Medicago truncatula: one gene and its partners. The protein of the gene in region 3 interacts with the protein of the main gene of each other region in a pairwise test. Links are inferred from orthologs where the notes say so. Each region holds a gene or a part of one and is shown on either strand. Other genes may lie near its edges.

The links.
Region 1: the proteins of GRF1-interacting factor 3 (region 3) and growth-regulating factor 9 interact in binary tests that used the Arabidopsis thaliana proteins (3 or more experiments, as listed by UniProt). The link is inferred for Medicago truncatula from reciprocal best matches to the Arabidopsis thaliana genes GIF3 and GRF9.
Region 2: the proteins of GRF1-interacting factor 3 (region 3) and growth-regulating factor 5 interact in binary tests that used the Arabidopsis thaliana proteins (3 or more experiments, as listed by UniProt). The link is inferred for Medicago truncatula from reciprocal best matches to the Arabidopsis thaliana genes GIF3 and GRF5.

The regions. Positions count from the first base shown.
Region 1 is NC_053049.1:13,574,655-13,585,773, forward strand, and holds growth-regulating factor 9, read right to left. Parts: upstream 4,241-11,119; 5' UTR 4,024-4,240; coding exon 3,957-4,023; intron 3,863-3,956; coding exon 3,656-3,862; intron 2,435-3,655; coding exon 1,850-2,434; intron 1,385-1,849; coding exon 942-1,384; 3' UTR 780-941; downstream 1-779. UniProt on the Arabidopsis thaliana protein: Transcription activator that plays a role in the regulation of cell expansion in leaf and cotyledons tissues.
Region 2 is NC_053049.1:7,192,288-7,203,810, reverse strand, and holds growth-regulating factor 5, read left to right. Parts: upstream 1-7,156; 5' UTR 7,157-7,508; coding exon 7,509-7,692; intron 7,693-7,823; coding exon 7,824-8,325; intron 8,326-8,594; coding exon 8,595-8,947; intron 8,948-9,135; coding exon 9,136-9,143; 3' UTR 9,144-9,567; downstream 9,568-11,523. UniProt on the Arabidopsis thaliana protein: Transcription activator that plays a role in the regulation of cell expansion in leaf and cotyledons tissues.
Region 3 is NC_053049.1:9,084,482-9,095,449, forward strand, and holds the start of GRF1-interacting factor 3, read left to right. Parts: upstream 1-6,394; 5' UTR 6,395-6,456; intron 6,457-6,547; 5' UTR 6,548-6,656; intron 6,657-6,851; 5' UTR 6,852-6,877; coding exon 6,878-6,958; intron 6,959-9,489; coding exon 9,490-9,566; intron 9,567-10,032; coding exon 10,033-10,117; intron 10,118-10,208; coding exon 10,209-10,607; 3' UTR 10,608-10,968. UniProt on the Arabidopsis thaliana protein: Transcription coactivator that plays a role in the regulation of cell expansion in leaf and cotyledons tissues.

The DNA of each region.
Region 1 (11,119 bases), about 4.5 Mb from region 3:
CCTGGTGTTGCCATTTGAGTGTGTCTTGTGGTGTTTATATGTCATTTCGACTAAGATGACAAGAACAACTAGTAGTAGCTAGCTAGTAAAATTTATTTTTAGCTCCTTCTTATAAGTCAGGAAGCGTCCAAGTTAAATATGATACAAACAAAAACAATGATGAGAATGAACAAATAAACATTCAAAACGACGTGAAGATACAATGATATGAAGCAACGAACGAGGAATCAAAACACGACCATTCGTCAAGGTTTAATTTCAAGTTTTGTAAAAAAACGAGTTTTAAAAAACTTGGGTGCTTATATAGGCTCAGAGTTAAAAATCAATATATATCCTGTTAGTCTAAATCAAAAATTAGCAGTTAGATTTAGAGATCAAGGTGACTTTTAAGTAGCATGTCTAAATAATTTTTGCCCCTTCGAGAACATCCGATAAAATTGGAACGATATAGAGACAAAAGATTGTTAGACTTGTTTACAAGCCAAATTTTAAATAAAAAATGTTTACAAGCCAAATTTAAAATTGTACCCTGTATTTATACATAACGTCCCTGAATTAATCTTTTAATTTTAAATTAGTGGTAAAATAATAAAATGGTATAAACTATATCACAAATGGTTTCGTGGTGTAGTTGGTTATCACGTCAGTCTAACACACTGAAGGTCCCCAGTTCGAGCCTGGGCGAAGCCATTTCCATTTTTTTTTTCTTTTTCATTTTTCATTTTTCTTTTGATAGGCCAAAATCTGTGCACATTGGTTGGTTTTCACATAAACAAACCTAAAATGCAACTTAGAAAATTTGATTCATATATTCTTCACCAACACATATTGATAATGTGTTAGACCTTTGCACACAAAACTGATCTCAGTTTGCAGATAGGTTAACGAAGTTCATTCATATATGAAGACCTAACATGTTTCAACAAATTAAACACAACTACTTAGAAAGAAAGATAGCTACACTCATTCATGGTGTCAGTGATGGTGGTACTAGTACCATCCGTGTCACCGCTGCTAACACTTTTCTCATTACAATCAACAAAGGGCGCACTTTCTTGAACCGACATTGAAAGCTTAGTGCTCGGAGACCAACAATTCGCTTTCTGGATGTCGATTGGAGCCGAAGGGTCGGGCAACTGAGCAATGGTAACAGCTGAACTAATATCAGTAGTTTTAGGAATAACAGTGGTGGCAGGAGGAGGAGATTCGAGGTTTGTAAAACGCCTTTTAGCACCTCTATGCATATGTGTTGCACAATACTTCTGACCTGGAAGAACCGCACTCTTGCATCGCCACTTCTTACCATCTGTTCTTCGGCATCTACCGGGTTCAGGTTCTAATATATTGTTTCTGTTGTTGAGGTATGAATCATTGCAACCAGAAACTGAAATGACAGCAGAAAATAAGCAAGAAAGGTCATATTAGATTTGTCATGAAAAGTTGACCCTAAAATACAATATTGACATGCAAATAAGAGATTCCTAAACAATACTACCTCTGTCGCTATATATAAGCTTCCTTTGGAAACAATTTTGTCCCTGAATATAAATCTCATTTTAAATTACTATATGCAATTATTTTAATTTTTCAAATGTATCATTATTGATACTAGTAATTTGTCATTGGAGATGAGAAGTCAAAGTTAAACAAATACACACACAATGACATCACCCTCATCTACCCTCAATGCTAGGCCGACCACTTAGATGCCTCTGCCTCCCCACTACCCTAGCCTTTTTATGAACGGCTTGTCTAAGGTAAACAAACTCACACTTTGTCACGCCTATGCAATCATCTAATCCCATGAATAAAAACACCCAAATTTGTTACAACTTGCAACAAGTTTTACCTGGAAGAACACTCTTTGGGGAAAAGCCTATTCCAGTAGAGATGCCAATACTTTCACAAGATATGCTTCCTTTCCGACCACTTTTAATACCCACGTTGTCGGTGATACACCTCTTGATCTGCTCATCTTGCTTGCATACGTTAGGACAAACTCTGTTATCCAAAGAAACGGATGTCGTGCTTCCCGAAGTTGTCACTGCAGTGGCACCATAATCTATGACATGTCTCGACCGATCACAAACAGAAGAAGTATCTACAACGCAGAAGGTCCTCGGATTGTATGAGAATGTGCCATTGTGATGAATAATCAAAGGGTTTGGATTTGAAACTGAAGATTTAATGTTTGGGACTAGTTTTGCATGTGACTTGCCACCACCACTAGGATTTGTTTTCAAAGGAGAGTTAAGTTGAGATGTTTCCACAAGCTTTCTTGAACGATTTCGACCTCTGTGCATGTGACGTTCACAATACTTCTGATTAGGTACTGTGTCCTTGCCGCACCTCCATTTCTTTCCGTCAGTTCTTCTACACCTATGTGGTTCTTGATCCACCATAGTCACATAATCAGACCCACGACGACTGTACTCTGAAATCGAAAGAAATGAACCGATAAAAAGGGAAAAGAGAAACAGTTTTCATAAACAATAAACAATAGATGTTTTCAGCATCAACATATTTGAGATGGACCAGGACCAATAAAAAATTAAAATTCATTAGTAAATCCTCTAAGCATCCACTAAACACAATTAACTGTGGTTTGTCAAAATTCATGGTTAATTACATTCAATGGATGGCTAACAGATGTAACGTCACAATTCGTTAATCATCCACTAAACACAATTAACAGTGATTTGTCAAAGTACACAAAGGGGCAATTGAACTACTACTCATTTTGTTCCTTTTTAACAGTCATTATAAGGTTGTTTACACAAACTAATCTATTAATTTTTGCTGCTTTCCATTAACAATTTCATCTATTTCCTACACTACCTGTAATAATTTGTCATCTAACTCACTTATTTTTCTCTCCGTCTCAACAATATATAAGAGGGATACAACAGCAACCATTAAGCCTTACACCGCTAAGTGGGACTGGGATCGGTTACAAGATCAAATTACGTCATAATGTTCTATAATGAACCATATTTTGATTAAATAATATTTAATGCTACTTTGAAATTTGAAAACGACAATTATAAAAGAACCAAATTTTTGAACAAAATAAACGACACTTAAAAAGGAGTCCTTTTATTGAGGGAAATGTTGCCATAAGTGGTAAGTATCTATAAAAATGTGTGTATTCAATGCATTACAAATCAAAATATTTACTCCCTCCGTCCTTTAATAGATGACCTAGTTGATAATATACATTATTGACTTGACATATTTTGACCATATTTTTCTACTAATTCACAAAGATAAATAATATCATGTAAGATGTTGTTGGATTCGTCTCGATGAATATTTTTAAAATATTAAATTTTTATAATTTTTTTTAGTAGAGAATTGAAGATATCAAAGATAAAACATATGCATTGGTACGTGTGTCAGAGTCAACTAGGTCATTTATTGAGGGACAGAGGGAGTAACATTTTTAAGTAATTGTTTAATTTGAAATGCTTAAAAAATGTCTCGGACACACTCGTTTGCAAGACCTTTTTTGTTAATCACAACTCTCACAAGTTACAACTTAATCAACTCAATCCCAAAATATACTCTTTCTCAACAAAACAAAACAAAAAAGGTGAACATGCATTAACTATTCTCTATAAAATTGAAAAGGGTATGATAAGAAATTTCAACAAACCTGACATATTACTTGGAAATTGCAAAAGGTAATAAGGAAGAGGAAGATTATAAGCAAAATGATTAAAAATAAAAACTTGATGATCAAGTTCACGCCTTTGAGCTTCTGTGATCAAAGGCTTGTTTTCTATATCTTCCTTCACTCCAACAACAACCCTTTTCTCTTCATCAACTTCACCATTCTCAATCTTCATCTGGGGTCCACCACCTATATAAAAAGACACAAAATTTAAGCAAAACAAAAACAAAAGTTGAAAGAAAAACATGTGATGAGAGAAAAAGAGAAGAGAGTGGAATGAAACCAGTTGTGCTGTTGTGTGAAGAGGGAACAAGTTGAAGAGGTTTAGCTTCCATTGTCAACATATGCATGAGCTTTTTCTTTTTGATACTGATGATGATGATCACTTTTGAATGAAAAGTAAAATGAACTATGTAGAAAAAGGAGTTAGGATTGAAATGAAAAGGTTCAGAAGTGAATTAGTAGAGATAGAGAGAGAGAAGATGTGAAGGTGAAGGAAAGGCAGTAAAGAGATGTCAGAGATTTTTCTGACAAAGGTTATTTACGTTTCAAGACTTTGTTGCAGGAGTGACCAGACAAACATATCTACATACAAACACCGAGGAAGCTTACGTGTACCGTATAGTATTTGGTTTCTAAATAAAAATCAAAATCGTTTTTATTTTCGTTTATAAGACCTATTTTAAAAGAAAAAAAAAAAATTCTTAGATTATTGTTTAGGAAGTACTTACCCTCTCATCATATCAACCAATCAAAAGGTAATATACATTGATAAAATTAAATGTCATAAATGAGTCAATTTTTTCTAAAAAAAAATCAATTATAATCATTAGGTAACTTTTAATTTTTATTTAATCATAGACATGATTACATTAGAGATCTTTTATCTTATTTATTTGTAACACTTTGGTCCTTTATCTTTATTTTTTTCCGTTTAGATCTTTTATCTCTTATAAAAGCACATATACATCATTTTTCTCATTCTTTTTTTAAAATTCATAATTTTATTTTTTAAAATATATTTTTATTAAAAATGAAAAAAATTCAGAAATATGATGAAGATGTCTATCATCTTCATCTTATTCCTTTGAATCTTCATCATCTTCATTGAATCAAAAAAAATTCTACACAAATATTTCTGACAATATCATGAATTAATGTTATATTCACCTCAAATCTTCTTTTAAACACAAAAATCAAAACCCTTTAGAGAAAGAGATTTAGTTTCATTGGAAGAAAAAAAAAAAAAAGATTGTCACACCGTATATTATTATTATTATTATTATTATTATTATTATTATTATTATTATTATTATTATTTTCTAAATCAATATTCAAATCCGGCATAAAAATAACCCCAAAATTGAGAGCAATTTTGCACATCAATTTTGTTGTTTCCAGAACAATCTTAACTTTCGTAAAGCCTAACCCTTCCGCCAGTGACTAAGCCTCCACCATCCGCCTTGCAACATTTGTGAAATTAAGGTTTTGATTTTTGTGTTTAAAAGAAGATTTGAGGTGAATATAACATTAATTCACGATATTTGGAGATATATTTTAGTAGAATTTTTTTTATTTAAAGAAGATGATGAAGATTCAAAGGAAGAAGATGAAGATGATGAACATCTTCATCATATTTCTGCATTTTTTTTCATTTTTAATAAAAAAAAGAGAAAAAAGATATATATGTGCTTCTAAGAGAGATAAATGACCTAAACGGAAAAAAATAAAGATAAAGGACCAAAGTGTAACAAATAAATAAGATAAAGGACTCATAATGTAATCTTGCCTTAATTATATTTAGGTGTTCAATCTTAATTAACTTACACTACAGGACTGACTTAGAACAATTAAAATTTCACATCAAATTTCTTTCATCTGGATGTCCTTAAATTTATCAGTTATATTCATAAAATTTATTCTTCCCATTTTGATTGTTCAATTTTTTCGTTTCCAACTGCCGCATTTTTTAATTGTCGTGAGAATCGTCGTCGTTCGTTTGATTCCAAATATCGTGAGAATTGTCGTTATTTCCAGTACCACGTCAGGTATGGTGACTTGATTTTTCTTTTTGATTTGATATTTCTTGGTTGTGAGGTAGTTAATTATAATAATTGAGTAAGTCATGTGTTGTACTTTAAGGGCTGCTTGCAGGTGTTGCCGCTTTGATTTTGTGGAAGTCTGCTAGCATTTTTTTGGTTGCTGCTGAAATTGTTATGTGATGAGGCTTTTGTTCTTTTGTTTGGACTTAAAGGCTTTGGCTGATAGTGAGGCAGGTCTATGCGTGTTAGCAGATTTTATTAGGTTGGTTGCTTAAATGAAAAAAATAAGTTACGATACCCGACGCAGTTCTAGAAACAACGACAATTCTCACTATAATTGAAAACTGCGGCAGATTGGAACGACAAAATTGAACAATCAAAATGGGAAGAAGAATGAAAAAGAAACAAGAATTGATCAATAAGGAAGAATAAATTTGAATGAATGAAATGTTTTTGTTCTCACGTTCGGGGTTCTGGAATAGAAGAAATTTTATGAATGTAAGTGATGAATTTAAGTACATCCAGATGAAAGAAATTTGATGTAAAATTTTATTTGTTATAAGTCTTGTGGTGTAAATTAATTAAGATTGAACACCTTAATATAAAAAAAAAAATCATTTGATGTTTCAAAATAAAAATTAAAAGTATTAAAAGTTACCTTATGATTAAGGTTAACTCTTCTTAAAAAAAAAATAATAATAATAAGATTAACTCTTTTATTTTTAGAAAAAATCTATTCATTTATTGGACATTTAATGTTACCTATGTATATTATATTTTGATTGGTTGATATCATGAGAGGGTAACGTAGGCCTCACCAGAAAAAAAAAATTGTCCCTTTTTATAAGACCTTTTTGATATTTTTAAGTCCATTAATTATTTCTTTATCAACATATCCTTATTTATTTTGCATCTTTTTTTCAATCAAAAATAAATATTATGTTGAAAACATAAATTATCTCTCTCTTAAAGATAAAATTGTAAAAACAATAGTAATTGTATACTTTTTTTTTCTTCCAAAAAAGTAGCTAGCAAAACACTAGACTACCGAAAATATAGATATAAGAGGAAGAGAAAAATACAAAGAAAGGGTGGGGGGCCAACCCAAACCCTCCTTAATGAGTAACAAACCTAAAGTTAGGCATCCCTAACTTGTTTTGAGATACAAAAGCGCTAATGCTGCTAGGGAGCTGCATCCATATGTAAGGAACATTACAAGTTAAACCCATGTTTGCCAAGTGATCAGCACATTGGTTACCCTCCCTAAAAATATGTGATTCAATGAAGTTCATGTTGCTCACAATGTTCAAGCAGTTATCTCATCTATTCCTTAACCTCCAAGGAACTATGGCTTTGTTTTGCCAAAGATTGAATCAAGTTCTAGCCAAAGATTGAACCAATTAAATTGTTTTGCTAATTCAATCACTCTCAAAGCACCTGATAATTCAGCATAATAAGCATCTTCTTGACCAGTATTCTCAGCAAAACAAAGAAGAAAATCTGAATTATGGTTTCTAAAGATACCACCACAGCCGGAGGAGAGAGAGGTTGAGGACCCATCAGAATTGCACTTTATCCAGTTTAGAGGGGCCCTAGGAGGATGCAAAGTGATGTTGAATTTTTTTATGATAGTAAAATCATACATGCAGGAAGAGGACATTTCTTAATGGTGGACCACATTTCTTCTTTAGATTGAAACTAAAGAGGACAGTTTAAACAAGTAGCAAACCACCTCCAAATATTAACTGCATACTAACATTGAAAAAATATATGAAAATTGGATTCTTCTTGAGCCAAGCATAAAGAGCACACTGAAGGAAGATGACATCCTCGGGAGGCTAAGACTTCATCAGTAGGTAATTTATCTAGCATCATTCACCAAACAAGCAGAGATTTGGAAGGGGAGATATCCTTTGACCAAATGAGTTTTGCCCACTTAATCTTGAGAAAGTGATGTTTTTTAAAAGCATATGCATCTTTCTGAGTTAGGTCACCTTTAGAGGAATGATTCCAAACTAGCGTGTCTCTCTGATCACTAGAAGGAAGGGTAATCCGAGAGACCAACGATCTCAGATTAGGGAAGTTTTGATTCAATTCTTCTGAAATGTTCCAATTGTGATTGTTGATATAGTTCTCCAACTTCTTAGGTAACAGCTGAAGCATATGATAATGCACGTTGTAAGTTTGAGGAAGAACCTGTCCAGACCAAGAGTCTGACCAAAAATTTATTTGTTTCCCATTACCAACTATCCAAGAGCTGTTGTTCATGATAACTTGAAATTCACCTTTAACTCCACTCCATATAGATGAGAAGATGTGATGATTAATGCATTTATGGTCTCTTAAAACTCTGTTTCTAATTATGATTGCCCATTGCTCATCTGACTGGAGTAAGTTCCAACACATTTTCAGGTTAGTAGCTTCATTCAAACATATGAGAGATTTGAGCCCTAGTCCACCCTCTTCAAAGTCTGTGCATATTTTCTTCCAAGCTACCGTTACCATTTTCCTCTTTGTGATATCACCACTCCATATGAAGTTTTTTTCTCCATATCTCTAAGAATTTTAATTGGCCAGGAATAAATAGACATTGTATGAACAAGCATTCCTTGGACCACCGATTTTACAAGTTGAATTCTTCCGACAATAGAGAGTAGTGAAGCTTTCCATTTTGCAAGTTTGGCCTTCACCTTGTCGGCTATAGGTTGGAAGTGTATGCATTTAGATTTACCCTTAAAGATGGGAGCCCCAAGATAAGTAAAAGGGAGTGAACCTACAGAAAAACCAAGCAAGTTGACAATATAATTAATTCTCGAATCTGTAATGCCACCAGCAAAAATAAAAGATTTTCTCAGATTACATGCAGTATATCTGGTGAATAGTAATTATATATAAATTTAATACTACAACCAAGTTTCCTAAACTCCGTAATTTTTGCAAAAGGCTCATATAATTAGAGACAGATGTAGTATAAGCCAAAAAAAAACTCATTTTCTTTGTCCCAAAATATAAGCAAAAAAGATAAACTTTTATCCTAATTAATCTTGTTTTTAAAAAAAATCTCTTTTTCAAGAAAAACTTTTGTTTATTCTCATAAAATTAAATGCAAATTACATTCAATTTTTTCTCTCTTTCATTTTTCCCACAACCAACAGCCAATGAAAATTGTTTTTACATCTTCCTATGAAACTTTTTTCAACGAAAACACAAAAAATTATACTTCAAATTCTTACTCCCTCCGTCCCAAATTATAAGAAGAAAAAAAATCACACTTATTAAGAAAACTAAAACATAAGAATTTGGAGTATAGTTTTTTGTGTTTTCTTTGAAAAAAAGTTTTATAGGAAGATGTAAAAACAATTTTCATTAGTTATTGGTTATGGAAAAATGAAAGAGAGAGAGAGAGAGAGAGAGAGAAAATTGAATGTAATTTGCATTTAATTTTATGAAAATAAACAAAAGTTTTTCTTGGAAAAAATATTTTTTTTAAAAAAAATATTAAATAGGATAAAAGTTTGTCTTTTTTGCTTATATTTTGAGACAAAGAAAATGAGTTTTTTTTTTTGCTTATATTATGGGACGGATGGAGTATGTTTTAGTTTTCTTAATAAGTGTGATTTTTTTTTTTGCTTATAATTTGGGACGGAAGGAGTAGTATTTTTCTCGGTTCTCATAATTGTTTATTTAGTAAATGGTTATTTTGATCTCGAACTTCAATGTCACATAGATTTTTGACTTACGATTAAATATAAAGTAGTGTCTGAACTCTGAATGTGCAGTTTCGTTATCACATTACTTCCTACCGTTAAAATCTTATGTTAACTGAAGAGGTGGCATACATGAGATGTTAGAGAGATTAAAGTGAAAGTAGAAAATTGTCACTTTGATCCCTTAATCGAAAATCAATATTTCCAAATTGAATGTTGGATGGGAGAATGTTCAAAATGTAATGTTATGAGGGAATTCAAATACTTTGAGGTGAATTCCATTGTTTGGATAATAATTTGAAGAATTTTCAAAATGATGAGAATTTATGAAGTATTTTGTTCAAGTTCAATTTAGAGAATTTCAAATGACACCTAAAAGGTAAGAATTTCAAAATTCATCATTGTTATAATCTTTCAAAATTTGCATTTTGGTCCTCATTTTATCAAAATTTTCAATTTGACCCCAATAAATTTTCAAAAAATTATAAATTGACCCTTCAAATTTTTCAAAAATTATAAATTGTCACCTCAAAATTTTTGAAATTTAAAAATTGACCCCTAATTTCAATTTTTAAATTTGGCCAAAAAAAATTTAAAATTTATAAAAGTTTCTCAAAAATGATGACATTGAAATTTTTATTACTCCACCCAAACAAAAATATTGAGAAATAAAAGGAATTTAATTAAATCATTTAAATTGCCTAGAATTTTAAATTCTTTAAATTTTCCCAATTACCTCACCCAAACACACTTGGATAGAGAATTTTAATGAGGGAATGTAATTTTTTGGAGTATTTAAATTGACTTGGCCCATATTCCATTGTTTGGAAAAATATTTAAGTCATTTTTAAAATTCAACAGATTTAGATAAGAATCTCTCTTGCAAAATTTGAAGAGTTTAAAATAACACCTAAGTTATAAAATTTGTAAAATTCTCTCTCATTTCATATCACACGCCTTTCACTCTCTTCTCTCGCGATGCTCACTCTCTTCTCTCGCGACTCTCACTCTCTTCTCCTCAACGTGCCTCTTTCCTCTTCTTTAGACTTCTTCTTCTTCTTCTTCTTCTTCTTAATCTAATTTAAGACATTATAATTGATGATTTTCACTTTGTAAACTATTAGAACTTGTTGATTAAGAGTTTTTTTGGATTTTAAGTTGTAAGAATTGACTTATTTCACTGTGTAAGCTTGTGGTTTGTGTTTGATTGACTCTTTGTTAATGAGTAGATATTGCTCTTGTTTTTTGATAGGCTAGTACCATATTAAAACAATAAAAAAGATATAACTTGTAATTGACCAAATAAAACACATGGTAGACGATGATGACGAAGAAATAAAAATCATCTTCAACGTGTTGCACATCGAAGTGTTCCCTGAAAGTGGAGAGATTGCAGGTCTATATTTAATAAAGATTAAAAGAAATAAAAATAATAAACTGAACAAACAAATAAATGAAAAGTATGAAATCATAAGTGAAATTGTATATACCTGTGACATCCATTTGTCTAACTTGAATCTATGCAAAAAGTGATTAAGGAGCAACTGCAGTAGCCAGCGGTGCTTGGGAGTTAGAAAATGTTTGTGCACATACTTGTAGCAGCTATGATAAGCGTATTGTGGATTTACAAAATAGGGTTAGAAATGTTGTATATATAACAAATTGAGGCAGTGCTGGGATTTAGAAAAATAGGGTTT
Region 2 (11,523 bases), about 1.9 Mb from region 3:
ATTAAGCGAGAAATATCATTTGTTTACAAGCAAATCAATTATTTTTATTCTTTTTTTTTAGGAAAGTGTAAATCATAAATCATGTTTGACTCGTTATTTCTAATAAATAGTCACTTTATAGGAGTCGATCCAAAGTTTAAGATGTATATGGTCGTAGTTTTTGTTTTTTTTATGGAATGTCCTTATTTAATTGTGATGTCATATAAAAAAAGTGTCCCCTAAATTCATGACTGAATGATATTCGTAGTACTTTCCTGTCTATAATTTATCTCGTAATTTATTCGTCCTGACTTGCCATGAATATTTTGCAACAATAATTTATATTTTATACTGTATTGTTGAAAGTACTTTTTTTTTATTGGTTAGTATTGTTGAAATTGAAAGTACTTGAGGGAGCAATTGTTTTATCAACCTGGATTTTTTAGTATAATTTTTATTTTTATTTTCGCTCTGATTATTGTTATTAATTGTTTACTGTTTTGACTGTCTTGCATTAAAAATTGTCACGTCTATGATGAATACATATTTATGCCACCTAAGGCTATTGGTTGGGTAAATAATAGTAACAACAACTATTTACAAAAAACAAAAGAGAACAACTCTGAGTGATAAACTACGTAGCATCTATAATAAAAGCTCCCCTCCCCTGTGTCTGGATGTTTAAGAATGTCTCGTGTATATATCATTCAAAAAAAAAAATGTTAAATAGGTTTTATCAATAATTTTGTATCATTGTATTTCACGTAATAAATTTTATTAAAAAAAAGTGTATTGGTAGTTTATTTTAATAAAATTTGTTACGTGGAAGCCACAAATACAGAAGAAAAAGAGGATTTTTCTATAGATATTCATGTCCTATGAAGCAAAGACACTCCTTGAATAAGGCGTGTTCCGGTGTCGAACATGAGTCGCGTCCGACACTGATACTTATAAATTATACTAAATTATATGATTTTCTCATATTATTAAAGGCGTCGGTGTGTCGATATCTGTATCGTTTCCAATATCTATGTACATATCCGTGTTTCATAGAAATTCCCAATTTAGCTTTAATTTGTGTTAAATAACTAAAATATCCATCATTATAAATGCACTAAGAAAGAAGATAAGTTTTAAATATAATTATGAGAATATGATATTTGATAATCTACATTCTGAGCAAGTGACTAATCTCACATGGAATATATAATTATAATATTGGGCGACTGTTATTCTCAGTGTTAGTTAGTAGTAATCTAAAGAAGATAAGTTTTAAAACTTTTGAAAGAGTGTTAGTAACATATTCACGTTACATAATCACGTATGTCCTTTATAACATACATTTATATTCGACTGAAGGCAAAGGCTACGGTAGGCGATCTCTTTAGGTCTCCTACCGTAGGAGACTTGACTTTTTTTATTTTGTTTTTGTAAAATAGATGTTAATCATTGGATATATTTGAAAACTTTTGATGACCATGATATTATTATACTCTCTCAACACTAGATACTTTTTACACTATTCCATCATATATCCTTCTCTAACCCTCTCCATGTCTCTGCTTATTCCCTACTCGCTCACCACCACCCCATCATCCTTCTTTTAACACCGTACACTTCCACTCTTTGGTCAATCCCTCTCATATTTTAATTGCTGTTGTTGTTAAAAACATCAATTATTTTTTATGAACAGGAATACCACAAACATCAATTGAACAAGAAAATCATTAAAATATAATTCAATTAAACAAAACAATATTGAGGCTTTGTTGAGAGAGTTCAGTGGGTAGGTTGTCTTCTTGATTAAGAGAATGATGGGGTTTGGTGTTTGTGTAATGGGTGGAAAGCAACGACATGTCTTAAGGATGTATAAATTTTATTTGTGTAGTGGGTTTGCTTCCTTCATGTTGTTGGTGTCGTGAGCCTTTGTTAATGTTGTGTGGCGCTAGTTCAATTTCATTGATAAAAGTCCAATCCTATCCTGCTGTGCCAGTTTCATCATATTGGTGGGTCTTCTTTCTTATTAATTAAAGTTGCATCGTTAACAGGTTTTAAATTCCTTAAGGAAAGATTGGTTATTGATTTTAGATCTGGATTTTTAAGAACAAATTGGTGAAGATGAAAGAAGATTGGATTTGGGAAGAACACATGAAGATAAATTTGGATAAAAGTAATTAGGAAGAATATGAAGTATATAATTTGACGATGATGGAGAATACGGTGGTGGGGAAGGAGGATGTCGGCGGCGGCGGAAGAGATGAGAGAACGGAAAGAGGAAGAAAATGTTTTTTTCCTATGGTTGTTTTGGCTGAGGTTGAAGAAAGTGGGAAGAAAATTCAATGTTAAGGGAATACAGTAAGTTCAGTGTTCTTCAACCATCTAATGTTTACACATGTTATCTTTATTGTAAAATAAAAAAAAAAAAATAATTAGTTTTTTATAAAGTCATCCACCATAGGAGACTATTTAAATCTCCTATCGAAAACGGCACCCTCGACTGAATTATAACTCAACAATAGAGTGTATTGAAAATGTTACTCTAGCATTAGCATTATTCAACCTCTTACTTGAAAGATTCAAACCATCTTACATCTTACCCGCATGTTATTTATTTTTATTTTTTTTAAGAAATCTTACCCACATGTTATTGGTACGTTTAAATTTAGTTTTTGTATGAGTGTCTTTTTTTTAAAAGAAAGAAGTTTTTTTATGAGTTAAAAGTGCTTATAAAGACAGGTAACATTGATTTCATATATTTGGCCCTAATTTGGAGCTGCATAGACTAGATCCCACCACACATTTACCCATCTTTCTATGGCATTGGCATATTTTTACTATAGCGCATGACGTTTCAATAAATAATTAAAATAAAATAAAAACACACTTTAACTCATGGTGGGAGTGTGGAGATGCGGATAACACTTTGGTGATATTGATCAATCACAATATCATAAGTGTACAAAATGATAAAAAATTATGACTTTCTTCTTACTCACTAACAAGCATTTTTTGTCATTTTGCACACTTGTGACATTGTGGTTGGCCATGACATTGGCACCTCAATATCACCAAAGTGATGTCCGTGGAGATACTAATTTTCGAACACACTCTTTAAAATATTTGAGTATTTTTTTCATAAAATTGTCTCCTTTACAATAATTGGTTTTGCTATAAAAAAAAAAAAGCTTAGTGGTGTATTGCTCGATTGTCTAATATTTATGTGTAACTTGAAGTTAACTTGTAAGTGTGATTTTGAGTTTTGAATTTATCATACAAACTTACTTAATGTTTTTTTTAAAGGAGAAATTCATTGCTTCTTATTATCAATCAAAAAAGAAATACATGACGGTACATTATCATAATCATGGAAGCTAGCATGAGATGGGGCTACCTTAGTTAATGCATGAGTGATCCCATTGGTTTGCCTCCTATTGAACTCGACATAAGAGTTCTGAAAACTAATCTGAAACAATTGTTTACAAGCATGCATAATACATCCAAACTCATTGTCATTCTCTAAAGAAGACCGAAAATGATCAACCACTATGTTAGAATCTAAAGCAAAGTCGACATTATCATAGTGAAGTTCCGCCATCCATTTCAACGCCGTATGAAAGCCTACGGCCTCACCCACAACAACATTACAAAGAGGGGAAAAACAATATGTTTTAGCACTAACAAATTCGCTCCTGTCATCACGAAGACAAATCCTGATACTCACATATTCATGGAAGAAGAAAAGGAGGAATCAATGTTACATTTATACCTACCATAAGCCGGCTTCGACCATTCCACCACCATACTATCGCTAGAATTGCCTTGGTGCGTCAAAGGTACATCTTCTCTTTGCAACCATATTTGTTGGGCTGATCGCCAATCATCCAGGGTATGCTTTGCACGCTCCAATACATGCATGATCGTTTCATTTTGCTGCTGCCACAATTTCAAATTCCTACGCTTCCACATACTCCACATAATCGTCACAAATAACTCTCTTTGGACCAAAGGCAGCTGATCAAGAAGAGTAAAAATAAGTGCATCCATATTATAATTTTTTCGGAGAGTTCTGTCAATTGTGTTCCATAATTGAACCACACGCCAAGCTTGCCTTGCAGTGAACATTCCAACAACACATCAATATTATCCTCATAGTTAACTTACTTTAATGTTAATAACTAGCTAGCATAAATCATTGTATATTCAACTAAATTTTAATCAAAATAATGTGTGTTTGAATTAGTCTTTAATTTAGTATAATTAATCGCAATATGTCACCATGACTTTGATAAAATTTAAATTTTGGATGCTAAAAGAAAAGCATCATAATGAGCAAATGAAAAATGTGCAAGAAATCCAAAACTAGTTTAATATATTAATGTATATGATGCTAAAAATATTATATTATATTATAATTACAAGTGGAGAAGTCCTGTGCATAGTCTCTGATGATTCCAGTCAAAGAAAAAAACAAAAGGCACTCAGGTGATCTTTTTAAGCCTGCAATGTAACAGCACAGAATCAGCCAGCAAATAACAAAAAAAAGAAAGAGAAAAGCTGAAAGGAAAATGTTATTGAGGAAATTTTTGGGTTAATCAATATGAAAGGTTCAGTTAGGTGTGTGAAAAATAAAAATAAAGCATGTGTTTTGGGACAGAGAAACAGTGTCTGTGAATAGTTTTAACCCTCAGAGTGCACTTTCCTGACACCTTCTGTAGAAGAAAAAAAAAAAAAAAAGACAAGTGCTTTCAATTGCAAAACAACAAGAAGCACGAACCAGCTAGATAGTCTTTTACTTCCACTGTACCAACCAGCATCAGTGAACTTCAAAAGTTACATCATCATGATGATGATAAATAATGCTTATAACTCTGAAACACTGTGTGTGTGAGGGAGCAAAAATAAATAAATATAAAGACCTTTCACTTTGCTGCTATATTGATATTTGTTTGACATTCAAATTTGTCATGTATCTTGTATTTTTATATGATATGATTAGTTACCACAAATTAGGAGTTTATGAAGCTTGAACGACTGAATTAAACAGCATGTATTCCTAATAAGAAGATATAATATAGCATGTAAAAAGAGAAGAGGTATTTATATTAGTAGTTTTCAAATCATAATTTTTAAAAGTAATAAAAGTTGTAATCTTCAAGTTGATTGGTTATGAGGAAATTGTTGGTAATATAAGAGATTTGACTTATATACTCAATCTTTAAATTTTGGATAGAGATGTGGTGTTCAGTCTCTTACGGATCCTTGATCATTGACTCGTTGTTTTTCTCAGCTCTCCTCTAGAATCCCCAAAAACTGGTATGGTAGCCTTGATTCAACTTGATGGGGAGAGTGGAGGTGGAATCCTAGTGTTGGATCCTTGTATTGAAAGTCCTCATAGAAAACGTGTTATGTTGGAATTATGTAGTGCAAATATAGAATGTGGGAGACTTGCATTTAAGAGAAGATTGTTGGATTCGAGTGTGAGTGGTTTCCCACATCCAATGTAGTTGAGTTAAATATTAGATATATAATAGGTGTGACTCATATACCAAACGTCTTAAGATTTCTAATAGAGATTAGTTGTTTCTCTACCGTGGTCATGGATCATTGGTTCTATTGCTCTTGACGCTCCATCAAACACCTCAACAAATGGTATTAGAGTCTTAGTTCGACTTAATTGTGGAGTTGGAGTGGATCATGATGTTGGATTCTTGTATTTGAACTCTTTCTCGCATTGTAGTAAGGGCGTGTTCTATTGGTTAATAGATGTGCAAGTATAGGATGTAGAAAACTCACACTTGAGAAGGAGATGGTTGGACTCAAGTGTCTCACATTTATTATATAAATGAGTTACATATTAAATTTATACGAGAGGTAAACCATAATATATACTTTATGCGTTGAGTTTTTAGTAGAGATTTGGTGTCTTGGCATTCCTTGATCATTTGCTCGTTGTTGTTATTGGTGGGGAATGGATCCTCTCCGGTGACTGGAGGGTCCAATGAAATCTTCTCCATTAAAAAATAAATGCATTTGAGAAATTAAATGTTAAAATCAAGAGAGAAAAAATATTTAATGACTTAAATGCATTTGAGAAATTAAATGTTTAATGACTTAAATTAAATGTGAAATTCCTTATTGGAATTATTGTATGTGTTGATATTATAAAATTACAAGTAATTTAGAAAGAAGTTGTATCAAACTTGATATTTCTATTCAATCTGAAATTTAGAAACTACAAAATATAATCCAGACATGTACTTATAACATCTTGTTTAATTCATCTTATACCGTATTAGAAAAGCCTCAAACAATGATTTGGCCAAAGCCTATTTTTGGTAACCAAGCTATAACTTTAATATTTAAAAAAGGAGAAGTGAAACACACACTTACTGTTATTCCTATATGGCCCAAAAAGATGATGTATTCATCTTGTGGTTGAAGAAATCATATTAACAGCCAAACATGTAAAGGATTATCATGACATGACTGTACCCAATGAAACATAAGAGTCCAAAATTGACTGTAACCTAATTTCTATCCTTGAAAGTAAGATGCCTAATGGTGAGAAAATGTAACAAAAGATAACACATCATTCCGTACCTAAAAAAAAAAAAAAAAAGGATTCAGCTTTAGCCAATGACCTCCCATATCTATGAATAAGATCATGCCAGGCATGCTTAAACCAAAAAAGATTATAAATGACACGTACTAGACTTTCTTATATTCAAAAGCTATACCATATCCTAAGATTGTTAAAAGAGATTTATACCACCGACTACAATTGCGATTGGTATGGTTAGACTTTTTGCTCACATTCGTCGTGTGACTCAAGCTTGAGTCTAAACTTCTATAATTTCTTATAGATTAAGGACTTTTTGACCTCTAATAAACACTCCAAAATATCTTACTTTAGGTTTAGATCTTTTGATCGTGCTATATAACCAATTCATAAGTTGATAATAGGATGTCCTTATTGTTTATGCGAGGTTGGAATGTCTCTCAAATATTAAACTTCAGGAATCAAATTTATATTCTTAATCTAAAAATTATAAAGAAAAAAGGAAGAGAAAAAAAAAATTGATGCTATATCATGATATATGATAAAATAGGCAGTATAGGTAGCTAAGCAGCTTACACTTGACATAATCTGATGGCACTGTTTTCAAAGAATGATGTGGAGACAGCAAAACCAAAGGTGCATGGACTAACATGCATTTGCATTTAATTTTTTCTTTGTACATTAGTTTATGAATTTGTGTAAAAGATGTCAGAGACAAGGGCAGCAGCAGCAACAACAAAGGCAGGTGCAGAGAAAAAAACAGAAGCATCACAGGTTCAGTCATTATAAGTTCAGACTCACTATCTCACCCATCCACCACATAGCAAAAATTAGTGAAGAGGTGGCAGAACACAATTTTCATATTCATTAACTATTATCCATCCATGCACAGTACAATAATCTCCAACCCCTCTTAACCCTCTTAAATAAAAGCATCTTCAAGAAAATCCTTATTTTTGTTTCTCAAAAAATGATGAGTGCAAGTTCAAGAAATAGGTCACTTTTCACACCAAATCAATGGCAAGAACTTGAACAACAAGCCCTAGTTTTTAAATACATGGTTACTGGAACACCTATTCCACCAGATCTCATATACTCTATTAAGAGAAGTTTAGACACTTCAATATCTTCAAGAATCTTTCCTCATCCACCAAGTAAGTATTGTTATAACTCTTTTTATTATATTTTATGATAAAAGAAATACTATATACTTTATGTTGTTGTTGTTATTATATATATGTGTATACTTTATATTTGTTTGTTGTCATAACTGTGAATGGTGCAGTTGGGTGGGGATGTTTTGAAATGGGATTTGGCAGAAAAGTAGACCCAGAGCCAGGGAGGTGCAGAAGAACAGATGGCAAGAAATGGAGATGCTCAAAGGAAGCATATCCAGACTCAAAGTACTGTGAAAGACACATGCACAGAGGTAGAAACCGTTCAAGAAAGCCTGTGGAACTAGTAGTTTCTTCTTCAACAACAACACCAACAAATAACACAAACACAGCATCTTCTTACAGCAACAGAAACATCTCCTTGAACAACAACAGCAGCAGCATAAACTCACCTTCTTCTTTCCCTTTCTCTACTTCATCCATGGCTTGTCATGATCAGTCACAATCTTTTTCACAATCCTACCAAAACTCTTCTTTAAACCCTTACTATTACTCTCAATCAATTACCTCTACTAAACCACTTGATCATTCTCATTTTCAAACTCAAGATGCTACTACTCATCACCTCTTTTTGGACTCAACATCTTATTCTCAGGATGACAAGGACTTTAGGTATGTATAAAACCAATAAATTCTAAATTGTTTTTTCAGTTACGCTGCCAACTTTTATATTTATATCTAATGCGGTTGAAATTGCAGTTGTCATACCGTTATAGAGACCTCTAAATATATTTATATTACGATTGCAGACTACAATTTAAAATCATAATAAACATATATATATATATATATATATATATATATATATATATATATATATAAAATTGCTAGGTTTTGATATTTTGTTGTGTATGTGTTATTGTACTTGATTGTTGATAAAGGAGGCAAGTTCAAGGAATAAGAGATGGTACTGTGGATGAGAGAACTTTCTTTCCAGAAGCTACAGGTTCATCTAGGAGCTGTTATCATGATTCATATCAACAACAACTATCAATGAATCCCTTTAAGTCTTACTCAAGCTCACAGTTTCAGAATATCAATGATGATAATTCAAGACAACAACAAGAACAACACTGTTTTGTTTTAGGCACTGACATCAAGTCAACAAGAACAACAAACAAGGACAAAGAAAGTGAGACAACTCAGAAACCACTTCATCATTTCTTTGGTGAGTGGACACCAAAGAACACAGATTCCTGGCTAGATCTTGCTTCTAACTCCAGAATTCCAACAGGTTGATTATCATTTATCATCATTCCTATGTTTTTGTTTTTTTTTTGTTATTATTAATATAAATATTATTATCCATAAAGTTATTTAATATTATCACACTTTACTAGCGTCTAGATAGGCACTTCTGTCTATGTCTGTCCGCTTTTTCTACTACGCTAACAAATTTATATACTTTATTATCCTTGGCAGATGAGTGAAGTTATTATTTGATTAAGAATTGCTGGTGGATACTGCCAAGAGAGAGTTAAAGATCAAAATGTTATGTGTGGCTGGGGTGAATTTTCTTTAGCAAAAGGTGTGATCTTTATTGTGTTATGTAGGGGACCACATTAGGATTTTTTTGTGTGTCTTGATGATATATTTTATTATTATTATAATATGCTTTGTTTCTTCAACATGAAGAAAAGTTAAAAAAAACATGTCTCAGATTTTCACACTTAAGATGTTTGACTGGAAAGCATATTAAGTTGCTTATGCAGTCTACTTTTTTAAATGGGTGGTAGTAGCAATAGCAATCAATCAAGGACAAATTTAAATTAACTTTCTGATGCTTGTGCTTGTATGTTGTGATGTATGGACCCAACAGCCAGAAAACATGTGCAATGAATATTTTGCAATATATTTACTACTGTTTTAAGATTAGGTGGGGAGAGACTGAGAGAGACACTTCCCCCACATCAAAATTCTCTATAACATATATCCAATTGATTGTAACTAGAGTGGTTGTAAGGTTTCAAACTTTGCATCAACACCTTATATTGTTTCATTCATTCACCACCCTTAGGATATAGAAATCAATGTGGTGTAACTAGGTACATGTTTAGCTTTATAATTTGCATCCTTCACTTTGGTTCCACTTCTAGAGGAACTAGAATTGATTCTGAATTGTTTAGTTATTGTCGACTAGAATTGATTCTACTTGAAACTAAGATATGTAGTTTTTGATTCTAGAATTGATTTTCACGCACAATTTTATAATTTGATTCATTTTTACATAAATTTGACTCATTTTTACATGAATGTATTCAAACACAAATCACTTTTGGTCAAGTTATTTTTAACCAAAATCAATTCTTTCCACACACAACCAAACTTCTATAACATCTTACTTTATAAACTTTATTAATTATTTGGTTACTAGCATATCCTTAATTAGTGGTAACAATAATCAATTCTAAGATAAATTTGTAACAATATCAATGGTTAACTAATTTAATGCTACGTACTACTAGTTTTCTTATGTCTTGTGATTTAGTCGACAAAGTTCTATACTTAGGGACAAGGGAGAACACATTATTAATGTGTTTTTTCAAAGTTCTTCTAACAGAAAAATGGCATAGCATAAGGGTATCATGTGCCAATTGTACTATATAGTACTATTCTACAAAATTACTTCATACCCTCTTGGACATATTTATTTTGTAAATTACAATTTTCTCCTACCCCACGTTTTATATCTGAATTCTGAAGTAAATCTATCATTTGGTGGTTGGGAGTTTCGGATACATATCAATAATTAATTGCTTTGTTTTTTTGGTTGGACAATAGTTCATTTTGTTTTAAATGAAAGAAAACATTATTCAAATTATTGCATGCTAAGAGAGTAGGAGGGACAAAAACATCCGGATTAGGATTCTCTCTATTGAAAATTTTCTTAAATTTTCTCATGTGAAATCTCAACCATCAATCATGAGAAAGAAAGTGAAAATTAAATTATAACGAATAGTAGTTGTTGTATTTTAATAGTGAAGATTGAAAATGGAGAAAATTGAAGAAAATTTTCAACGGAGAGGATCCAAATCCAAAACATCAATAGTTTCCTCACTCACAGTTAATATAGCAATAAATGAAGGATATTAGCTGAGATTGTTAAACTCAAAGACCATAATGCCCCACGTTAGCATTAGCATTTCCTTCTAAACAAGGTTTTTCTTTGATGAACGTGTGAAAACTACCAAATAAAATGCATCCCAAGCCGAAATATCACAAGTACCACCTTGTCTCGGACCATCGCAAGAAAAATTATAATCATAAATCTTTTTATCCGGCATTAACTTGGAACTGTGTGCATCCAAAGCACCGTTTACTAATATCAATGTAGTTGTATGTAAAGTTTTGATAAATTCCCACCAATACCCGCGCCATGAGATTAAGAACATAAATTCAGAAGCCCTGGAAGAATCGAACTTGAGACTTAAAGGAGGAGCACGCTTTCAAATCCCAAGCCAGTATCACAAGGCCAACCCAATACCTCATTGTTCAGCAAGTATAGAATTTTTCACTCCTAATTTGCAATTATATTCTTTCTAAGTTACTCCAATAGAGGGTGTCCTTCTAGAGAATAAAATACATATCTTAAGAAAAAAGTTTCTATCTCCAAAATGATACTCTCTGCTTTGGCACCAGAGAGGATTCCAATTGACATAAGATGCCTGTGCATGCTGACACACACTAATCACTTTCATGCGAACTATCTATATGTAACTTTTTCCTTTTTCCAAGTAACAAAGAAGAGAGAGTAGGAAGAAGATGATGGTTCATCTTAAAGACTTGCTCCATTGTAGAAAGAGCACAAAA
Region 3 (10,968 bases):
CCATTATCAATTACATCTTTCACATTATTCATTTTAATTTCATATGCATTATTACCAATACCAACTTAATATCATTATAGTACCTTAGTTTGCAAAGAAGGGATACACTTTATTAAAAGTTTGCAATTTCAATTAAAATGTTAAAATATTGATGATGTGGAGGACCAGGTTGATAAAAATCTTCACTTCAATAATTAAATAGGACATTTAGTCAAAGAAAGATGAGATTGGGGGGAGATATATTTTGAGAAAAACAAAGATATATTCTCTTAAATGAGTTTTTTCTTTTGGGGGGTCCAAATGAAATGGTGAACTACCTTTGTCCAATGCAATATCCCAACAAACAAACTAGTTGTCCAAATGAAAAAACTATTCCCTTAACTAATATTAAATGTCAATTCCTTTCTACCCCAGTTAACTACACTTCATCAAGTAGTGCTAATAATGTATACAATTATGCCTAATTTTTATAGTCTTTTATTCAGTAGTGACAACTTCAATCTAAAGTAAAATCCTCCCTGACCCAGATAAGTATTGCTCAATAAAAACAAACTTTGTGTATATATTAACTTGTAGAAACAAAATCCCTTATCATGTGCTTCTTGCCCCCTTAGTACATATTTTTCTATCTTCTCTAATATATATATATCATATTCACCACAATTCCTTGACCATACACCATAATTCTTCTTCTTCTTCAAGACCCTCTTGCAAGCAAGTTTATTTTGTGTCCTTTTTTTCATGTTTGTATTTTAAATTTTAATATGAGACTTTCTCTTGACATATACCTTTTTTTAAGCAAATGAGAAACATGTTTTGTTTTATTTTCAATTTCAGGGCAACCCTCTTTTCTTTGTTGATCTACAATTAGATGGAACAAACTAAAGAAGTGGAGAATGGAGACTACAATGAAAGCAAGAGGATAATAACAAAGCAATACATGATGATTTTGGTCTTCTCTTTGTTGATAAGCATGCTTGGAGGATCTTTGCTTGGATGGTGGCATCACAAATATCATTCAACAAATAGGCAACTTTGGATGGTACCCTTTGGCCTCATTTTCTTTCTTACTCCACTCATTATTTGGTTCTCCCTTTTCATTTCTCACTTGTTTATTTCCAAGAGTGATGAAGAGTTAGAGGATGCTTCTAATATAAGTCATCTTATTCAAATTCATCCAATGGATGAGTCAATTTGTCATCCAAAGAGATGATCTTTGGCCTAAAAGCTATTTTGTGCATGTTAAGTATTATGGAAATAGTTCAAACTATATAGAACTTGAAAGTAAGGTGTTATATATCATATATGAGTTAAAAATTGTGTTATATATAGATATATATTATCATCCCTGATAATTGCTTCTAGTATTTTTTCTTCTTCTTTAAACAGTTCAAAATACTTCTTAGTAGATGCTGTATATTTGGTAATGTAAGGTTCAAAATAATTGTTGTTCCCTTTGGCATTTCTAGTCTAGGAGTAGTTTCTATGGATTATCCACTTTTTTTTCAAGGATATGTTTATTCACTATTGAATTATTTTGTGGTCAAGTAGTTATTCACTATTTATTTATTTTGTGGTTAAGTAGTTTATTGGTGAATAAGTGGGGAATTAGAGGTTCAAATCCCGGTCTACATATATTGTCATATCACCACCAACTGAGTTATGTTTATGAAGACATATGTTTATGTTTATGTTTATTCACTTTATTCCTTTTCTTTGTTTTTTTTTTCTTAAACTAAAAAATTTATTCACATAATTGCAAGTATTTGTTAGCACAAGATATGCCAAATATTAGCCCAATGATATTTCTTTTCTTTGTCTCTTATTCAAAATATTATATATCTCTTATAACATGACATAAAGAGTCGATATCTAGGGACCTTATTTTCCATTATTAATGTAATATATTACGTAATTGAAAATATCATGGTAGGAAAAATATATAAGATTCTAGGTCATATGTGTGATGTGGAAGCACGAGAAAGAAATAAAGTAAGGTTATGCACTTATGCTAGCCAGAGATGTTGCCTTCCCTAAATCTTATTTGAATATATGACTGGGTATATGTGTTAAGTCTATTTCCAATATAAACCGACAAAATGTAGGGCTTGATTTCAATCTTAGAGGAGACAAAATTATACAAAATGTCTACAATTGATTTAGATAGGTTTAGATTTTTTTGAGTGGAATTATTACTACTATCAATAATGAGTTGGTCTGTGAAACAAATTGAAATTTCTTAAGTAAGTAGTCAGAAGTTTGATATCTGATTTTTGTATAAGGAGAAAATTTAATTGAAGGAGGAAATTAGTCAACATTGAAAGGTTAGATGTTTGATCTCTCACTTTAACTTGAGATCAGATAGACTAGTTGTCCATGCAAGTTTGCAGAACGGGACAATCGATCCAAACATATGCATAGATTTTTGCTTAGTTCAGTTAGTCAACATGTGGTCTCATAACCTCTATTATCCATGCTCAAACCTTGGTTGGACTCAACAAAAACTTGATTTTTTTTTTTATATGTCTGGCGCTTTTTTATTTAAAAAACCTCATTATAAAATTTGATTTAGATCATTAAACATGTTGGACCGGCTCTACTCAATTGGTTAATTGAGCTTCGATTAATAACGAATAATTTAGAATAATACAAATTTAAATCTTAACTGGAGCAAGTATTAACCAAACTTTACATATTCTTATCGAACTTCAAATTATAAGAAGACATTCTGCTCAAACAAGAACAGGAAGGTTATGGACAAATAAAACTAATTTATTGGAAAATTTCACTTAATTATATGAATTTCATTCAATATAATGTTTTTTTAATAAGATAAAATAGACCATCAAAATTAACATAAGAAATAATCTTGACAAAGGCATATTTCAAAGTCTCAAATCAACATCATCAGATCAACTCAAGTGGGTTGATGATATTTCTCTTTTTTACTGAATTAGTGACGCTATTGCTTTATAAAGTAAGTCATGATTGGCATCAACATGTTTCAAAGCCATTCTCATCAACATGTTTCATCCAAATTCAATAGGTAGTGGTCAATGGCATAACTACTTGGCTGTAGTTTAAGTAGGCGCCGCCATCAAGAAATTGGAAAGTAGCAGATCACTGCATCAACCTATGCAGAATTTGCACTCACTACTCACATAACCTAAAGTTGTTTTCAAGCAGACAATGTGGACATTTACAAGCTTGCATAAAATCCTTAAAACTCTTATAATATACCAACATCACAATATTGGTCTTAGTGAAATTAATAATTATAGTGGTGAGAATTTATTGATGTATTGGAGAAGATTTGAAGTTAGAAAAAAAACTTTTGAAGGTGATACAAGTGAAGTGGATGAAATAAAGTTGAAAACGTATCAAAGGAAAACCAATGATCATAAAACTTATATTTAAAATACTTTTTTTAGATACGATGATGTTTTTAAAATACGGTAATTGTACTTTTTTTTTTGTTGAAGGAAACGGTAATTGTACTTTTGGCATCACAGTTTTTAGAAACCGACGATTTTTCTCCAAATTTTCGAATTAACACTTTTGGTTACAAAAATTAAATCCATTTTAAAAAAGTGACTAGGTCAACACATATATGAATATTAAATTTAATGATTTACACATGCGGAGTTTGTTTTTTATTCTAGGAGACGCGAATGTAATATTCTCTAATATATTTTGTATAAGAGAATAAGATCGTATATTTCAACTTATGAATAGAGGATGGTCTAATTTAGGTAGTGTAATTTACTTTAAATAAAATGTTAAAATATGTTTTCTGGAAGAAAAAAAGTCTTTGAGGAATAAGTGAAGAGTTTTAGTTTATATATACAAGCAAAGTAGACACTTCACGCTAAATGTAGAGGTCGGAGTATAATTATTGAAGTATATGATAAAATTTTAAAAAAGAAAAGGAGCAATGGCCCAACACTTTTTATTTTGTTAGGCGTGTTATTGTGGTTGTTGTTCTGACATTGAATGTTTTCCAGAAACACATGAAAAAGATTAAAAAATTCAGCGGTAGTCAACTGATGTCGGGTTTCTAGTTATAAAGTCAGCGGTAGTTAACTACCGCTGAGGGTATTTTAGTATTTAACATGTCGGGTTTCTAAGAAGATTTTGATGTTAGAACAACAATTGTTGTTATTGTAAGTAGCTCTTGACTCCCTAAACTTTGATCATCACCGTCTCTATAAAAAAAATATCATGTACTAGCGAAAAGATGGGTATTCACGTGCCCGTCTTTCGACTCTTTTTAATGTGCTAAAGTTTAAAAATTATGAACGTTGTTTTTTTATGAAAATTTAATTTTGATTAAAAATAAAAATATAAATATATTTTGCTTTCAAATTATAATAAATCAAACTAATCATGATTATCTATTTCAATGATATCAATAATATAACAAATTTTATTTACTCTATCTTCAGTTTAACTTTTTACCGTTTCATTACTTCACTTATAACCCTTTAGATTCATAAGTTCACCTCCTCATAAATTTATGCTACGCAAAAGTTTTTTTTTGTTTATTTCTTTTTTATAGAAAATCTGATTCAAGGGTACTTATCAAAATCTCAAATTAAATTCTAAAATGATCGAGTTCGCGGTTTTACTGAGCCTCTACTATCCAAATTGTGTGCATAGAATCCATGCTTAGTGTAATAAGCTTGGATGTTTGACCCAAAACTAGCGTAGATAACATTTAACTATTTAAAAAAAAAAAAAAAAAAACTAACCCTTTTTCGACCACACCGCCTTTCTCAAAAATACCCTAATTTTCTAACAACATTCACATTTTCCCTAAAACATACTCATGTTCAAGTATTGCCATGTATATATACAACTATTATTTTATTTTATTTTAGGATCATTTGATTTTGGTTGTAATTTTACATTTTACAGTCTTGTTATCACCTTTTGATCCTACAAATTCACGGTGTAAAATTCTTCCTTTTTTGTTGCAATCTTATATTTTACAATCCTGCTACTCTTTCGATCTTATACTCAGGGCCGGATCTTTGGAGGTGCAAACAGCTCAATGGAGTTGGGCCTCCCCAAGGTATGGGCCTAAAAAAATATATATAGCCCAGTAGTACTACCCCACTAAAACAAATCCTTATGAGAACTCTGATACTACCTGTGTTTCTTTCCTTATTCTCTTTCTCTCTTCTGATTCTCATACGACGTGTTACATCACCACCACTCCTCCATCAGACTTCCCTTTCCTTCTTCCCTGATTCAATTTCCGACCAGGCTACCACAAATTCTCAACACCGATTAAATATATATCACACATTTTCTGGCTCTCTTCAATAGATAACACAGATTTTCAAAGTTTTCACTCCAAAATTCTATTTTTTTTCCTCTCTTCAGGTATAAACCTTCATTCTTTGTTTTAATTTTACACATTCTTGCACTCTTTTTCTTCGGTTTTTTTTATTAATGTTGTTTAGGGTTTTTGTTTTTATGTCAAAAAGTTCAATTTTTTTGGTGATATAACCCTAGGTTTATGAAATTATGATAATCTTGAATATTAGAATTGTTGAATTAGATGTTTATTTTCTTATTCCGTTTGACATATGGTGTGGGAATATATGATGCAAAGTTAATTTTGAAAGATTTTACTGACTATATTTTGTCAAATAGAATCAATGTTTGTAATAACTTATAACAATGTTATTTTGCAGTGATTTGCTATGTCGTTACACTTGTATACTGTTATGAATCTATCATTAAAGTAGTTCGACAATCTATAATTATTACAGGCCGAACCTTGTATTTATCTTTTAAAAAATTTAAATAGAACATTGTTCTTTAAAAAAAATATATTTTTATTATAGACCTCTTTTCACTTACAGAACCAAACCTCTTGATTCATAGGAACGGTTCAATTGTGCTAGATTCCAATTCTAACAAACTTAGATTCAAGCTTTGCGATAGTCAATATTGTACATGAGAAAATATAGAGTAAATTTTTCCAATTTCACTTAAGATTTCCATAAAATTTCATATAACATCTTTAGAAAATCTATCAAAAAACTCACAACCCTAATTCTTTGATTTTTCTAGTTTTTTAAACCATCTATTTTAAAAGTCTGATTAGACCGAGTTGCTCCGATATTTAATGAAGTCAAACTTACCTCAATTAAAACCGGTCCTAAAGATCCAACCAACACGAATTCAACAATAGTTTTCCGGTTGAACCGATTCAAAACCAAACTCAACTCTCGGTTGAACTGAGCGATCCGGTCTATAAAAACACTGTAGTACCCCAAACCGAACGAAGCAACAGTCAACAACAACGAAGTACAAGAAGAATACGCACGCGCGGACATATAAATAACCCCTTTGTCGTTTTTGAGGTAAAAGATTGGAACAACCTAAACCGAACCACACTCACACACCAAATCTAGTCTTTAACAAGTTTTGTTCTTTGGTTCGGTAATATTTTATTCTAACTCAACAACATTTGTTAAAGTACCTTAATTTATTCCTTGTTCTCACGTTCTTGTTCTTTGTCTTTGGATTCCAGAAACAACACACATAGCATCCTTAAAGATCAAAACAACAAAGATCTTGTTACAAAAACATCTTCAGTTTCACTTCACAAAGTTTTTTTTTTCAACTGAACCAAAACCCAGGTACTATTTCTCTCTCTTTCTGTTAAAGTTTTTGTCTTTTATACTTTTTTATGTTAATTATGTTATATCCTTGATGAGTTTTTTTTATAGGTTTCTATTTGGGGTTTGGGTTTGTTAACTGTTGATTGCGTTGATTTTGGTTAATTAGGGTTTAGGGTTTTTTATTTTATTTATTTTTTTATTAAATTATTTCAGTGAAAATAAATAACAAGGAGGAGAAGATGCAGCAGACACCTCAAATGATTCCTATGATGCCTTCATTCCCACAACAAACAAACATAACCACTGAGCAGATTCAAAAAGTATGTTTTTTTTTTCACTGTTTCAATCCCTATTTTTCAATTTGATGATAAAAAAATTAAAACTCTATTTTTCAATTGTAAGTTATATAGATTTTTATTTCAAGTTTTTGTTGGATTTTATTGTTCCTCCCTTCATTGGAATGATTTGGATACTGGGAAGTTATGGTTGTTAAACAGAAGATAATGATTTGGATTTTTTATAATATGTATTATTATTTTTTCTGATTTTGTTGTAAGAGTTATATCATGTGTCTCGATTAATTCTTTGCACAACAAAGGAAAGCAAGAAGGAACAAGAAGTGCATCTTTGAGCTGTTTTGAGATAATTATCTAGATGTCTAAGTATGTATTTCCGTGATGGTTTGAATCAAATTAGTTTATATTGAGTCTATACCTCCACTCAGTACAATCATGTGTGCTGATTATTTCTCGGCTTTCTTGATGTCAACTGACGCCTGTTGTTAGTTTGTTATTGTCCAAAAGGCGTACCTGTAATTCTGTATATATCTATATCTACTTGCTGAGAACATCATCTTGTACCTGTCGGGCAGGCTGAGTCTTAGTTTGTTTTTGTGTGATAGATTCTCTATCTTGAGAACCTCTTGTTGATCATAAACATGTGATTTCTGCATTTGACGCGTGAGTCATCATCCTACATAGACACCTTAAACCCTTGGAAATTACCTTACTCTTTAATTCTGCGTTGAGTAAGCATGAAATTTAATTAAAACAGACCTGGAAAATTCTGCCACATATAATTAGGACTAGACTTTTTTTTAGGATAGATAGAAGATAGAAGAATATAGACAGATTATGATTACTTATTTTAATTGAAGAAAATGTACAGCTGAGAGAAGTGACAGCCATCGGTGTCTAGAATCTGAACAGTTTGCCTCAATTGAAATTTTAAGGGCATTAGTATTGCTTCTTTGCACAGTTATTAAAAGAAAGGATAAAGCGGACACAAGCAAGATGATTAATTATAGTTATCCTATAATAAAGGCGCACACACATACATATGGTCTTACTAATCAATCAGAGCCCTTGTTATCAATACTAGACCATCAATCTCAGCATAGGCATAACCATGTGTTTGGGAGAACTTATGAAAGTAACTTAAGTGTGGTCAATTTGGAAAGCTAGAAATCTTGCAACTTTCCTAGGGCAAGGTGGTTCTTCCGGATGTAATTCTAGAACAGTGTAAATTGTTGTCTTGGAAATGGTTACACTCAAGGAAAAAGTTTCAAATATTCAATTTCTCAATGGATGTCTAGCCCTCTTGGTTATGTAGGTGTTGGTGGATTATTTGTTTAAGTTTGCAGTGGACAATTTTTTAGCACAGGTGTTCTATGTGGCTCTATGATAGTTCAACTGAGTGGAGTTTTATGCATCCGGTGGCATGCGAGTTGAGTTGGCAATTGTGCTGCTTTGGTCAACCGGCCTTTGTGAGTCAGGGAGTAGTATTAGTGAGGTCTTATACTTAATTTCTCAAGTGTGAGGGAAGTATACTGAAGGCCCATAGTGCAGTTTGTTTTTTACAGGATGATGGTGAATTTTCCGATGTAAGCTGATTATAAATCCTGAGACGCAATCGTAGTTTGGGAGTGGTTCCTTTCCAAGTGCAAAGTTTGGTTGTATTGAAAACTATTCAATACATGTTGCTCCATTGTTGTATTAGTTTCAAGGAGTTGGGGTAGAGTAATGAGGCTCAATTTCATGCCTTGTTGCAACCTTCCTGCATGAAATCAGATTGTTCTGTTTGTGGCAGTGTTGTCCATGGCGAATGGCGGACCATGGCAGAGAACCAAATACCCGCCATACCAAACAACATGTGGCGCCACCATATCCGAGTATGACGCCGTTGCGCCACCATCCTTCCCAAAATTAGCCATGGTAAACAGCCAAAAACCCACCACCAATATCTGGCGCCATGGCTGATGTTTGACAACACTGGTTTGCGGGTCTGCAAGCTTTGGTGGGAAGTATAATGTCATTTCAAGGGACTGTTTTCATCTGCAACATTTGAAGTTTGGGGGATGTTTGTGCAGTCTGAGTCACAATTTGGCTGGCGTCCGTGCAGTTGTTTTTATGTAGCATTCGTTCTAGTTCTTGCTCATTTTTCTTTTGGCGTGTTGTCCTTCGGAGTCAGTTTGGCTCTGGTGTTTTAAGTCTGATTTTAATTCAGAACTTTGTATTTTTTTTCCTTCCATGCACACTTTGTGCTTGGCTGTGGTTATTGAATGCATTCTCTTTGCTTTTGCAGTAAAAATAGCTTATGAAAACAACTTACAACTTATCTGGACAACTCCTCCTTGATTATCGAAATAACTTGCACATAAGAATTTGAGCAAGCTGTTCACCCAAACATTGATCCATTAATAAATTTATTATCATGAAATTGTCCATTTATTCTTGATGTATTAGGAAATTTCCATGATTTAACCCAAGGTTTTCTCTCTATTTATCTATTTATCACAAGAATTATTACTTCATTATTTAATTTGAAAGCCCTTTCTTGGCATATGATGCAGTATCTTGATGAGAACAAGAAGCTGATCCTGGCAATATTGGACAATCAAAATCTTGGAAAACTTGCAGAATGTGCCCAGTAAGTTATCTCTAAAATCTCGCTGCATTGTTAGTACCAACATTCAGTGTTGTTAAATAGCAGTTTTATAGGTTATTGCATAGTGGAATTTAACCAGATCACTATTGTTCTGCGATATGCTATTTAGTACAGAATATTGTGAAATAGTGGCGCTACAGCAATATTGCATAGTGGAATTTAAACAAACCTTTTTTTTCTGCAATCTGCTATTGATATCACTGCCAACTATTACCTGATTGTATCTTGTTCCTCTCATCCCTTACATTTTAAAATACATTTGATTTGACGTTTCACTGAAGCATATAATATGTAATTTATAATGGTCTTCATTTCTGATGGTCGAATTTACTAATAATATAACTTTTTTAATCTATATGCAAACAATTGTTCTCTTAGATGTTTGTGTCAACATCGGTACATTGCCGAGGTTTTATGTTATGGTTGTGTGATGAATTTGACATCTTAGGTACCAAGCTCAGCTTCAGAAGAATTTGATGTATTTAGCTGCAATTGCTGACGCGCAGCCACAAACACCGGCCTTGCCTCCACAGGTTAAAATAGATCCTAGCTTATGTCTTGGAAGTCGGAAGAATTTTCCATAACACCAATTTAATTGCCTTGTAATGTGTTTTATTTATGCAGATGGCCCCGCACCCTGCGATGCAACAAGGATTCTATATGCAACATCCTCAGGCTGCAGCAATGGCTCAGCAACAAGGAATGTTCCCCCAAAAAATGCCAATGCAGTTCGGTAATCCGCATCAAATGCAGGATCAGCAGCATCAGCAGCAACAACAGCAGCTACATCAGCAAGCTATGCAAGGTCAAATGGGACTTAGACCTGGAGGGATAAATAACGGCATGCATCCAATGCACAACGAGGCTGCTCTCGGAGGTAGCGGCAGTGGTGGTCCAAATGACGGGCGTGGTGGTGGAAGCAAGCAAGATGCTTCGGAAGCTGGGACAGCCGGCGGTGATGGTCAAGGAACCTCTGCCGCAGCTGCGCACAACAGTGGAGATGCTTCAGAAGAGGGAAAGTAATGTGATTTTCGTGTATGTTGTTTAATAAGACAATACCATGTGACTGTTGATAGTAGGATTTTCTTAAAAAAGGTAGCAGGACTAGAATGATCTTGATGCCCTTTGATTGGTCGACCAGAGGAGCTTAGGTAGATGTGATGTTGTGTTGCTAGGGTTTTGGCATGCAGCGAGTTTGTGTCGACTGAAATTGTTGTTGCCGCAATAGGAAGTACTCGATACCTAAAGAGGTGAAAGTTTGTGATCCATAGTAACAGTGCACTGTCGTTCAAGTTTGTGATTGTTGTTTCTTAGTTCATTCTTAGTTTTCAGTAATTTTTATAAATTTTCACCTTGTTTTCATACTTCTCAAAGATTCTCAAAT